Linked DNA regions of Xenopus tropicalis. The protein of the gene in region 1 purifies or fractionates together with the protein of each later gene. This does not show direct contact. Links are inferred from orthologs where the notes say so. Each region holds a gene or a part of one and is shown on either strand. Other genes may lie near its edges.

Evidence for each region. Proteins that work in one complex are often made in the same cells at the same time.
Region 2: the proteins of rictor (region 1) and flna purify together in Homo sapiens (affinity purification with mass spectrometry; 3 studies listed by BioGRID and IntAct, with this or other methods). This does not show direct contact. The link is inferred for Xenopus tropicalis from reciprocal best matches to the Homo sapiens genes RICTOR and FLNA.

The regions. Positions count from the first base shown.
Region 1 is NC_030677.2:197,055,336-197,061,702, reverse strand, and holds part of rictor (rapamycin-insensitive companion of mTOR), read right to left. Parts: intron 5,702-6,367; coding exon 5,655-5,701; intron 4,797-5,654; coding exon 4,661-4,796; intron 4,320-4,660; coding exon 4,120-4,319; intron 1,234-4,119; coding exon 1,107-1,233; intron 401-1,106; coding exon 236-400; intron 91-235; coding exon 14-90; intron 1-13. UniProt on the Homo sapiens protein: Component of the mechanistic target of rapamycin complex 2 (mTORC2), which transduces signals from growth factors to pathways involved in proliferation, cytoskeletal organization, lipogenesis and anabolic output.
Region 2 is NC_030684.2:31,808,372-31,814,738, forward strand, and holds part of flna (filamin-A), read left to right. Parts: intron 1-562; coding exon 563-810; intron 811-2,312; coding exon 2,313-2,402; intron 2,403-3,893; coding exon 3,894-3,996; intron 3,997-4,535; coding exon 4,536-4,676; intron 4,677-4,879; coding exon 4,880-5,008; intron 5,009-5,092; coding exon 5,093-5,266; intron 5,267-5,656; coding exon 5,657-5,818; intron 5,819-6,020; coding exon 6,021-6,224; intron 6,225-6,367. UniProt on the Homo sapiens protein: Promotes orthogonal branching of actin filaments and links actin filaments to membrane glycoproteins. Anchors various transmembrane proteins to the actin cytoskeleton and serves as a scaffold for a wide range of cytoplasmic signaling proteins.

The DNA.
Region 1 (6,367 bases):
GTAAGCAAATCACCTAAGGAGAAGGAGAAGCCCCTTGTCCCCGAGATGAGAGAGTGCCGGTTTCATTTGGATCAGTGCATGGAGATTGGCCTTAAAGAAAGAAATTATGTTTTACAGACCAAAATATTCTGTTTGCATTTTTATATTGAGCATATTGTTACTATTTAGATTGTTCTTATACAACATGCATTTTCTTAGGAATAATTGGTTTTAATTAGGCAAGCAAGCAAATCACCTTGTCTTCACAGGCCTCATCCAAGATGTCCACAGCTTCAGAAGATATATTTTTGCTTTTATCATGCAGCTGGGTCACCAGTAGCTCAATGCCCCAGTTACTGAAAAACTCAACGTTGGCTCTCAGAAGGACTCGCAAGTGCTTGGTGGCATACAGCCGGCAGCTCTGTACAGAAAGACAGATATTTTAATGTTTAATGTTCATGCAGTAAAAATGATGCGGTTGGAGTGCGGGAAATGTCCCCAACTTGTATCCATGGTAGGAAAAGTTAGGGTCTACATCTCCTTTAAGGAAACGGAGAGCAGAATAGAAGAAAATGGGGATAAGGGGGGAAAAAAGAAGCAGAAAATGTAAGATGGGGAAAGGAATCAAAGTGAGGGAAGGTGGGTGATCACAGGAAGGGTGACAAAAAGGGTTAATATGGAAGAACAAGAGTGAGAATAAAAAAGCATGGAAAAACAAAGGGGAATGTGAGTAGAGTGGAGCACATTTCACTTTACACCTGTGATATACAAGGAGGCATTTATGGCTTCCAAGCCAGCGAGCAAGGGGCCCTTTCTTTGCCTTTTCTCGGTGCAGAAAACTGCTGCAGGTCTCAATCGAGACGGACCACTATCCCCATAAATACAAAGCTGCCTGTATTTGGAAGGAGGGTTCCCACAGCAGAATATACAGTATATTTCTCCCTTCTTATCATGGTATCACAGCGGTGCCGGTGCTCATCCTCACATTCCCTTCATGACACCACAAGGACACTCGTGCTCAGCTACACAGCACATATGCATGAGGCATATGGTAGATATAAATACCCATAAACAGCCCCTCCAAAAATGAGACTTGTGATGGCCACAAAGGGATTGATCATACTCACATCAGTAGAAGCAGTCAGGGTTTTGGAAAGAATGACTCTGGCCAGCCCATCTCGGCTATAATCCAGGCAGGAGATGGCTAACTTTAACAAGTGATCTTGGTTTTTCAGGGAGCAAAGATTCAAAAGACTGCAAGAGAGCACAGAACACTGACTGAACCTTCCCTTCTCATATTAATGACCTTGCATGGATGGAGATATATAGAAAGGAATTTTACTTCTAAGCTATTTCCCAGTGTCTATGAAGATTCTCATTCATCTAGGTAATGATATACAATATCTAGTAGAATTCAGTCTAAAACAACTGGACTTTTCAGAGTTTATCTTAAAACATTTCACCACTCATCCCCTTTGCCTATCTATTTTCAACACTGCTGGTTCTGACTTCTGAAACAATGTTGCAGAAGGCAGCTGTGAAGAAGATTGCAAAGCTAACCTTTGCTATATCGGTTTCAAATAAACAGGGGCAGATAAGACATGGTTTTATATGAGCAAATGGCTTAATAACAAATGAAAACCTTTTATGAGCGTACATTGAAAGATGTGTAGAATGACTTTTGCTTTAAAAGGCAAAAGGTTATTTTTGGGTTTGTATCTCCTTTCACAGGGATATGACACATAGTAACATAACACATCAGAAGCTAAGCTTTCTTTCCCTCTCTCGGGGGGGGGGGGGTTGTGGCCAATGTGTTAAAAATGATATTTAGGGACCAGCGGGCTAACACTTTTTTTTGTGTAAAACTGAACAAATAAGTGTGGCAGCAACACAACTATTAGCTTTAATCAGTTAAAAAGGGCAATAAATAACAAGTATGTGCCATCACATTATGCATCTAGACAAGAAGACATTGTACATAATCATTTCTAACACAGACATGGCCCAAAAAACGGTCTATAAAGGATAAGTAAACCTTAAAAAATGTAATGTAAAATTGCTAATAGTGCAAAACTTATACTGAAATATATAAACTGCTTAATAGCTTTGGAAACAAATTATTAACTGCGAAAGTGCTTAGAAGGTCATTCTGAGCAATTTTACATTATATATCAAAGTCAAGCCACATAAACATTAGCTACATAAACACATTATATGTTCCGTTTAAGAGCAGTAAACTGACAAAACATAATTTTTTGACAAGCCCACTGCATGCTGGGATGAGTACCTCACCATCTGTCCCTCCTGTGGAAGATTCATACATGTTGGATAACCCTTTATAAACCATTACTTTTTTTTAATGAAACCACTGGTTTGCATTAGAATCTTAATTTAAAGGCTGCTAAACGATAATTATAAACGTAGTATTTAGATAAATGATACATATCACTTTCTCGTCAGTACTCTGGCATTTATTATTAGCACTGGACATTTCTAGCTAATAAAATCCTCACCTGCACCACAAGAATCAATTTTGTACATTGCTATTTTAGATATTCCTATCCCATGAGAGAAACAAGAAATGATAAAAAACCCATAAGAACCATCTTAGACATACAGAGTTGCATTGGCCATGCACGGGCCAAGCTGCCGATATCAGTCCTTTAGATCGATTTGGCAGCGTAACTGCCTGTTTATGGGCACAAACGACGGGCCTGCCTGACCGACATCTGGCCTGAAATAGGCCAGGTTTGATTTTTCCAACGGATCCGGGACCGCATTGGCTCGTTAAAGTGGTCCCCGAACAAATGGTGCCTAAACGACGAATAAGCCCGATATCACCCACCCGTAGGTGGGGATATCGGGAGAAGATCTGCTCTCTTGGCGACCTTGTATATGGCCACCTTTAAGGAAAGGCTAGTAAAGAGTTAATCTCAAGCTGCAGGCATACCTTCAGTTCTCTCAATAGTGCCCTTAAGTCTCCCCATTTTTCTCCCGTTCAGATGATCAGAAGCCAAACAGGAAGAAAAAATGCTGAGCTGTGTAAAGAAAGTTCCCATAATGCCTCGCTCCTGCACAGACACCCATACCAAGTGAACATGCTCAGTTATTAAGACTATGGGGGACATTTATTAATTCACGAACGTCCGAAAAGCATCCGAATGCGTTTTTTCGTTATGATCGGTATTTTAGTGATTTCTTTCATCGACGTCGCGAAATAATCCTACTGTCGCGCCGAGTACGAAAGTTTCGGATTCTTTCAAGCGTCAGAATCGTGACTTTCCTTGGGCCCAGTTGGAGCTGCAGAGTGCCATTGAGTCCTATGGGAGGCTTCCAAAATCATGCAAAGTCGGAAAGGTTTGCCCGCCGTTTACGAGCGCTCAATACGAAAGAGGCGACGAAAAAAAATCACAAAAAATACGAAAAAGTCGCAAAATGTTAGTTTCCAATCCGTTTTTTTCCCATTCGGGATTCAGATTCGTGGATTAGTAAATCTCCCCCTATGAGTCAGCTTCTTGCTGATTGGCTCAGATCCACATTCCTGGGGGGGGGGGGAGTGAGTTCTTAGCATTCTTGAGGGAGGGGGGAGCAGGAGAGAGCAGAAAGCTGCGTGTCTCTGGCACAGACATAAGAAATCTTTTTTGAGAGAAGTCAGTGCAGCGATTCTGTGAGCGCTTATGGCTGTATTTAAATAGAGCTTTCTGATAAAGCTTACTTAGTTTTTACCTTTCTTTCTTCTTTAAAGAGGGAGAGACTACATATTGTAAGAGATCCAATCTCGGTTTTGACCAACAAGCTCGGCCTAAAACAGACTGCATTGTTGTGTTGATGTCAAAGGATAACATCATGGCAGAAGTGAAAACTGATTATGAAAATTTCCACTGAGGCCTCTAACCAAAATATGCGGAGGTGATATACTGGGTGCGGACTGGTGAGCCGCGTCTCCATGCTTTATTATCAAACTACTGGTATATTACATACATCTCATTTCCCCTTTAGGAGTAAAGTACATACAGTGCGGCTTTCAACCAACCCATTTATACTGGGTTTTTACATTCTAGTTAGGCATTTGCCAGAATACACAAACATGGTTTATGTGACACGGTCCCACACTTGCAATGTATGTGGGGCAGTACTTACCACTGAAATACATTGCATTTCTCCAGCATTTTGACGCCATGTGGGTGGCAGGATAGAGTACCAATAAACAGAAAGTAGTGCTGGCTGAGTGTGTTTAGGAGGCCATTGTTCTGCAAGCTTCGATCTGATTTCATTCCTGATGACAAGCTTAACCAGAGCACAATGTCTTTCACCAGGTCTTCAAGGTAACTTTGCCCATCCTAAGAAAGCAACAACAGATAATGATATAAATTTGGCTCAGGGCATTTTATACCTGCATTAATTAGAAGGGAGATGGGTTGGTTCTATGTAGAGCTATAAACACACTCAACGTAACAAGTGTCTTTCTTCAGTAACTGCTTAATTACCACTAGGGTAGAGAGAACCCATATGACATATACAGTCTGGATTTGCCAACATGGTGATAGGGGCCCAGGCATTTAATTTTAGACAAGATCACCAGTTTAGCAATTATACAATAAAATGGAAGGGGGGAGGGAGTTTCCTGAACCTATTGAAAGATGTATAATTAAACGGATCCGCCTCCAGTCTCTCTACTCACTTCTTCGGATTCCAGAAGGAACTCTGTGAACTGGCAGCCCACGACAGTCAGCTGTTTAGCCTTGCTATAGTCCAGATCTAAATTGGCATAGAGCTTGCTGCTAGGCTTGTAAAAATACAGTAGTCGCCGAACAAACCTGAAAGGCAAAAAAAATGTGAATATCTTAGTCAGTATGAGCAGGACATTAAATTACTACATAACTTGCTGGGTGCCAAGCAGAAGGCTACCAAAGACAAATTGCTTGTATTTTAGACAGAGGTTAAGCCCTGGGCACAATGAGCGTTTTGTCAGCTGCTGCCATCTGATAAACAAGAGTAGCAACAAAACAGCCCTCTTTGCCTCTTCCTGCTTCAAATACTAGTGAATGAAAAGTGGATAACTAGACTCTCATACAGCGGCGACAGGCTGATATTGGTGCCAAACTCTCGAGCTAGCATTTTGGCACCAAAGACCAACTATCATTGCTCTGCGTGTGCAGTATATAGGGTACCGCTGATATCTGCTGGGTGGCAGCCAAGGATAAAGGCACAGCAAGAACATACCTGCACCACATGAAAAATAAATGACTAATGGATTGCACAACCTGAACCCATCATGAGGTTGCAAGACTGATTTAGAAACACATCAGTCCAGAATTAACAATGTCCATTCCATTAACCTAACCTAACCCATTAAAAAGTGAATACCCCACAAGACCCAGTCCTGGCTAATTGCTCACATCTCTTCTCCCCTTATATCCTCTTTCCTGTCTCCTATTTTTTATTTTTTTTTTGTCACCTCTGTATTGTTAAGCTGAGCAATCTTTGAAAAATAATAGCTGACAAAGGCAAGAACTGGAATAAAAGTGGGTGAATAAAACATATTTTGGCTTTATAAATCACTATAGGTTATATTCTGCATTGACCACAAAATAAAAATATCTGGAAAGCACAGTGTTCCCAGGAAGTCTCTAGGGACAAGGTGCATCATTGCATTGAATTTAAGTCCTGCTTACCTGTGCAGCTGCTCATCTTTGCAATTCCTTAAATTCACATTTGGCCACTGTGGAGAGGGAAAGAGAAGGTTTTGTAATTGTCAAAGAGTTATAGTTCACATGAGTAGATCTGTGACTGTCATTTTAGCTCTATGTCAGATTGTATCAATGGGCATGAGTGTCACAAAACGGGACTTCTCTCTGGACACACAGGTATTACTATGCTATTCTGAACAATTGCTGGGCGTCTAGCATCTGCTCTGAATAGTCACTGTCTGGAATGATCAGTTCAAAACAGCACCCATACTTTCCCTATTTGCATATAGGAGGAGTTCCCCTTTAAATTATGATTACTGAACTTAATGGTGTAGCTTTTCCAGTTGCTAGGGTCTCATTTAGTATAGCCACAAGGCAGTAGTCTGAATGACAGAGTGGCAGATGGGTAGGAAAGGATGTAAATAGAGCCTCAATAAAAAAGTAACTAAAAAGGCTATAGCACACAGAGCATTATCCCACTGGTAAATAGCAGCAGACAATAATGCCCCTCTCAGTCTGTAGTAAAGTCCTGCACAGAACCAATTTTTAAAGCCTGGACACATAGCCTGCAAGCCACGACCAGATCCGCATTTTTACTTGCTTTGACCCACTACCCGACCTGACAGTGCCTTTTCCACAACCTGATCCATGACCTGCTGACCGAAATCAAACAGGAATTGTGCTCATTTGAAGTGGGT
Region 2 (6,367 bases), on another chromosome or scaffold:
GTAAAAGTTAAAATGTTCTCACTTGGGACCTCAGTCCTTCAGGAAATTTTTAGTTGCTCCACAGAATGCTGGGAAACTTCTGTTGCTAAAATACAAAACTCTGTTCATGGCAATGGCTGATGTAGTTGGCACTGCTTGGAAACCTCCGCAGTGTAAGATTACCAATCGCTTGGCGTCGGTGAAATGCAAGAGCCAATTTGCTTTTCGAGAGTCTGGTGCTCTTCCTGAGTCCCTGAAAAGAATGTAAATACATATACATTAAGAAGTGAGATCAAATATGGGCTGTCGTATTTATGGCTCAAAACCAATATACTACTTTGTCTATTCAAGGTTTTTAGCTATGATCTCTTCCAACAATCCTTAATGGTTGTTCCTCTGAAATAAGGCTAGTTCTGAAAACGGCTGCACATTGTCTATTTAAATTTCCTGAGTGCTGAGTGTTCTGAAGAACATAATGGGGATTTTCTTGGATGTTGTGGTGACTGGTTGCATGAAACTGATTACTATTTTTGGGAGCTTATTTCCCCTGCTAACTTATTTTTTGCATTCTTGGTACTGTCAGGTGCCGGCATTGGTCCAACTATACAGATTGGCGAAGAAACCGTAATAACAGTTGATGCCAAAGCAGCTGGGAAGGGTAAAGTGACCTGCACTGTGTGCACTCCAGATGGCACAGAAGTAGATGTTGATGTGGTAGAGAATGAAGATGGCACCTTTGACATATTCTATACAGCTCCACAACCTGGAAAATATGTTATTTGTGTGCGCTTCGGTGGGGAACACATTCCCAACAGTCCTTTCCAGGTCACGGTAAGTAAAAGGCATATCAAAGATGCTTTTAATTTTTTTTTTAATTTTTGAAATTTTTATTGGGTTTTATGTACAATCCAAACAGGCAATAGACATAGTCGAGCATCGGTTCAAGGATAATGAGAAAAAGCATAGTGAACATCACAGAAAGTGGTTTGACGATGCTATCTATTATACATAATACTTAAAGCATAAAATTGTATTAGGGAAGAGACTGTCCGTTGTTGTGTATTGCTTATGGCTGTTGGATTGAATTAAGGTAACCGGGGAAGGGAGGGGGGAAAGGGGGTATCAGACAGAAGGAGCGTCAGGTGTAGAATAGTCGTGGGTCCATCTCTTATACTAGCTTCCATTACACAGGCCTATGGAATCTATATGCTGCCATTTATTACTCCTGTTGTCTTTGAATCGGTCAGCAGAGCAAACACTCCATTAGTTGTTAATTTGGATGATTTGTTAGGTTTGATATTTTCGTTTCCAAGAAGGCTCGCCAGGGTCTCCAAGTAGCCCAATGAGTTAGATGCTTTTAATTTAGTCTGCTTGAATGGGAATAATATCTTCAAGTTTCCAGAATGTTGGCTTTAAACTTTTCCCCTCATAAAGTGTAAAGATACATGTTGTGTACATAATAGCATGTCCACAAGGACCTTGGCAAAATTTCCTATGCTAAAATTTGCATTTCCCAGTTTTGTCGACCATGAGAGGAGATGTTTGAAGTTTTGGGGTTTTTTGTAATCTGAATATCCTACATGCATGTGGTGCCTGAATTTTAAGAGCTAGGCTTGCTGCTAGAATATTCCAAACCCATTCAGCATCTTTCCTCTGGAGATGGATTGTTTCTAGAGATTGTAAGATACTATACCTTGAACTCAACCAGCACTAAACAAAATATGAGGAAACTGTATCGGACTGTTTGGCCAAACCTCCTGTCAGTATACTCTGGGACCAAACTGTTCTATATCTATAGATAAGCAGAGACATTGTATTCGGTTTAGTAATGCACTAAACTCTCCATCAGCCAGCCACATTTGTGGTTCAGTCACATCAGTGTTCTGTTTATGTATGGTCTGCACACACAGATTGATGGGAAAAGTCTAGACTGGAATAAAGGCATATACAATAAATCCTAAAGAAATGACACCTAACACAAAAGACTAGGAATCACCTCTTCCTTAGGTTTCTCATAACACACAAAGTCAAATAGAAATGTAAGATGGGAATTGGGAGGCAGGAACTGCATAGAAGACCAGTTGAACCTCTCTTGGTGGTGGCCATAGGCGTAGAGAACCATTAGTTGTGCATAAAGACTTGTATCTCTGTAGGTTTGGAATCTTCACATATATTCCTGGGGGAATCGTGATCTGCTTCTGCTGCTAGCATTTGGAAGTTGTATTTCAGCAACAGCTGGGAAACGTTTTACGATATAGTCAATCCGTTGACCTGTGTCTTGTTACTTGACTAGCTGGAAAGTAATCTAACCTTTGCTTACACCTCCAACACAGGCTCTGGACGGCGAGCAAATGATGCCTCAGCAGATGGTTCAACAGCAGTTAGCCCCACCATACGCTTACCCGGGCATGCAACAACCCTGGGTACCCTGCCTTTAACAGTAAATGTGTCATTTGGAGGTGAATAACCTTCCCAGGGCATTGAGGGTTTGGAGAAAGGAACTCTGGAATCCAGTACTTGCCACAACCACTGCATCTTCTCAAAGCTTTACTCTATCAGCTTGTTTGTTTGTTGCAGCTGGCCTCTAGGGGTCTGGTTTGAGCTCTTGGAGTATTTTCTGGGTACCCATTTATAAGGGGGCGGAGTAAAAAACATATGGCTTTATCTGCTGGGTTGTTTGAAGTGACTTGCTTTGAATGTTAGCGATGAACTTTGTTGCATGCTCCTTCACAAGTACAAACCGTCTTGTGCCAGCTTTTAAAAAAAAAAAAAAAGCCTCTCATTGGTCAGACCTTTATCTATATTTCTGGTCTTTCAGCCTAACCTACCCTCTGATTCTGTAGGGAATGCTTCACTTCAGTAGCTTTCTGCTGTGACAAAGCGCCACCATGGATTCTAAGGAGTTTTATTTTCCTTCCCTGCATGCAATGCCCTGGAGATGGACTTTCACCTCGGTCTCCACTGGCCTTCAAATTTGGGGAGGAGGGTTGATGTTGCTGGGCTCAGTCTTTGTCCGTTCCCATACCTTCCCATTCTTCTTTTTTTCCCCCTCCTCATACCCAACATCTAATGTCTCCCTGCCCATAAAATCCATCTCTTATCAGATTTCCTTACTGTCACCAGCCCTTGTGTGGGTGGCACAAATGAGGTGACCTTTTCCACCTCTGGTCAGTCTTCACCTGGTGTCTGATGACTTTGTCTAATGGTCTCTTGCAGAATTCATTTTCCAGGTTTGCCAGCTTTTTTGGATAAACATCCTGCAAAGACTAAATCCATTTTTTTTTTTGTGTGTAAAAACCAACTCTGTTTCAAGTTCAAATAAAACATATATACCATGTTTCTTAATATGAATTGTTTTGTATTCTATCAAACAATTCACAGAAAGCTTTATTAAATAAAGTTTTGCGCTAATATTGAATTAATTTAATCCACGCCACAGCCATTTTTACTTATCAGCTTATTACCAAGAAAGTGGACCCGAGGGGGAGGGAGTCACATGTACGTTTGGCATATCCAACCTATAGCTGCAGCTTTACAACACCCCCCAGATATATCATTGGCTATCAGAATGTTGAATTGCCAGAGCTTATTTCTGGAAATCCCCAAAGACCATACTGATAGAAGATGATATACTAGATTCTATAAACCATTTAGAGGTTTTTGGGGTTGGAATTGGAAGATTCCCTGAATCTGTCCCTACTGACTTTGCTGCTCCTCAATCATTATGATGTCCCATAGTAGGAAACTTGTGGTTTTTACATTACATAGTTATTGCTATTTTCTGTGCATTGTCTTTATTGAAGTACAGATAAGAACTTGCACTGGAGTTGGGAATCTTTTTGTCATCTGTTGACGGAAGTGTTTTGTGTTTCCTTGTCAGGAAGGACTCTTTACTCACTTAAGTTTCATTTCAGGCTACTGATCGTCCAGTTATGGGTGTAAATGGACTGGATGTGGCAGGACTTAGACCTTTTGATCTGGTTATTCCCTTCACCATTAAAAAAGGAGAGATTACAGGTAAGCATGGAGTAGAGGAAACAGACATTAAGCTGTTGTCTGACTGCAGTTTTGCATGACAAATGTACTAGTATTAAGTGTTGATACTAATTTTTTCTACCATGGTTTTGTGGCAAACTAGCATAACTTGACTATAACATTTCTAAGTATGACTAGTGATTGTCTAGCCAAGAATTTTGTGTTTTAATAACTGGTGGTAACTAGGGTGTTGTTGGTTAATAGGGCTTTGGGAGTAGAACAGAGTTTGCGTATCATAGTCTATCATTTATGATGATAATAAGGAAGCCTTGTATGATAGTGGAGGGTGGGTGGAAACCAGAATATCCAAGGCAATCCCTAAATGGAACACTAACAGAATTTTCAGTTTATCTGTCCCTGTAAAGCACTGCGGAATATGACCCTATATGAAGTACAATTCTGTCCTTATGGGTTTTCCATAAGCTATAAGTAGTTTGTATTAATAGGTCCATGAAAGGGAACTTTGTTGGGTGGTCGACCACCTTTTTTTCCGCTAACAAAGCCATTCATTTTGACTGCAGGAGAAGTGCGAATGCCATCAGGGAAGGTGGCCAAGCCTGACATCACTGATAACAAAGATGGAACAGTCACGGTGAGATATGCTCCCACTGAAGCTGGACTCCATGAGATGGATATAAAGTATGATGGCATGCATATTCCAGGTAATATTCTGCAGCTCCACCTTGGCACCAATCTGTTAGGAAAACCTTTAATCCTTAAAAGTAGCTTGACAATTTTACTGGCAAAGGGTTTTATAAGAGGCTTGATTGATATGCTGATATTTGTATTAAGTATTCTTGTACTTTGCATTTTGACTGGCGGCTGTATTTATTTTTCACTCTTAACCAGAACTCTTGCTTTATAGGAAGCCCCCTACAGTTTTATGTGGATTATGTAAACAGTGGCCATGTTACTGCCTATGGCCCAGGCTTGATTCATGGAACAGTGAATAAACCTGCTGTCTTCACTGTGAACACTAAGGATGCTGGAGAAGGTGAAAAGTTAATGCATTTCATTGTCCAACATGAATGCTAGCTCTGAACTGAATGCCATGACTAATCTTTTATTTGTTTCCTAGGTGGCTTGTCACTAGCTATTGAGGGCCCCTCCAAAGCAGAGATCAGCTGCACAGATAACCAGGATGGGACCTGCACAGTTTCTTATCTCCCTGTGCTCCCTGGAGACTACAACATCCTAGTCAAGTATAACAACAAGCATATTCCGGGAAGTCCATTTGTTGCTAAAATAACAGGTAAGTTGTATTGGTGATCACATAAAGCAGAAATCCCCAACCTTTTATAGTCAAAAAGTTTTGGGGAGCAACACAAAAATCAAAAATATTCCTTAAGGTGCCAGTGAGAGCTATTTATATATAACAGGCTATTTGATAGCCCCTATGTTGACTGGAAATCTACACAAAGCTCTGTTTGGCAATTACACTGAGATTTTATGCAAACAAAGATTGCCTTCTTACCAGAAATTTAAAAATAATCGCCTGCTTTGAGGCCACTGGGAGCAACACCCAAAGGGTTGGGAAGCAACATGTTTCTCACGAGCCACTTGTTGGGGATCACTGACCTAAAGCTTCCTGTAACTATAGCACAAGCTCTGAAACCTGATATTTGTGTGTTTTCTTAAACAGGAGATGATTCTATGCGTATGTCCCAGCTGAAGGTTGGGTCTGCAGCAGACATCCCCCTGAACATTGTAGAGACAGACCTGAGCCAGCTGACTGCTACAGTGACCTCTCCATCTGGAAGAGAGGAGCCATGTCTGCTCAAGAGGCTCAGAAACGGCCATGTTGGTAAGAATGATATATGCATGGTGAACTAAATATGCCGAAAATCTGGTCTAATTTAATTTATGTGCCGGTATCATAATCCTCTACACATGTCCTTTTAAGGTCTTTGCTCTAAATAATCATAAGGCATTTTCACTGTACATACAATTTAATGAATTCTTTCTGTAATCCTATACCTTCTTTAATCTGCTTGCTTCTTTTGTAGGCATCTCGTTTGTGCCAAAGGAGACAGGCGAACACATTGTTAGCATAAAAAAAAATGGTATCCACATCCCCAACAGCCCAATCACTGTAATGATCAGCCAATCCGAAATCGGGGATGCCAGCCGAGTGATAGTGTCTGGTCAAGGTCTGACTGAAGGGAGGACATTTGAGCCCGCAGAATTCATCATTGACACCAGGGAAGCAGGTACCTTTTATTAGAGCACCTCTTATACACCACCAGAAAATATAATAACCTCTTTGTTGGATGTCTGCAATAACCAACATGGTTGGTGTAGAAGCAGTTCTAAAACCAAGTCAGCAGGATGACACTTTGGTCTATGTTTGATC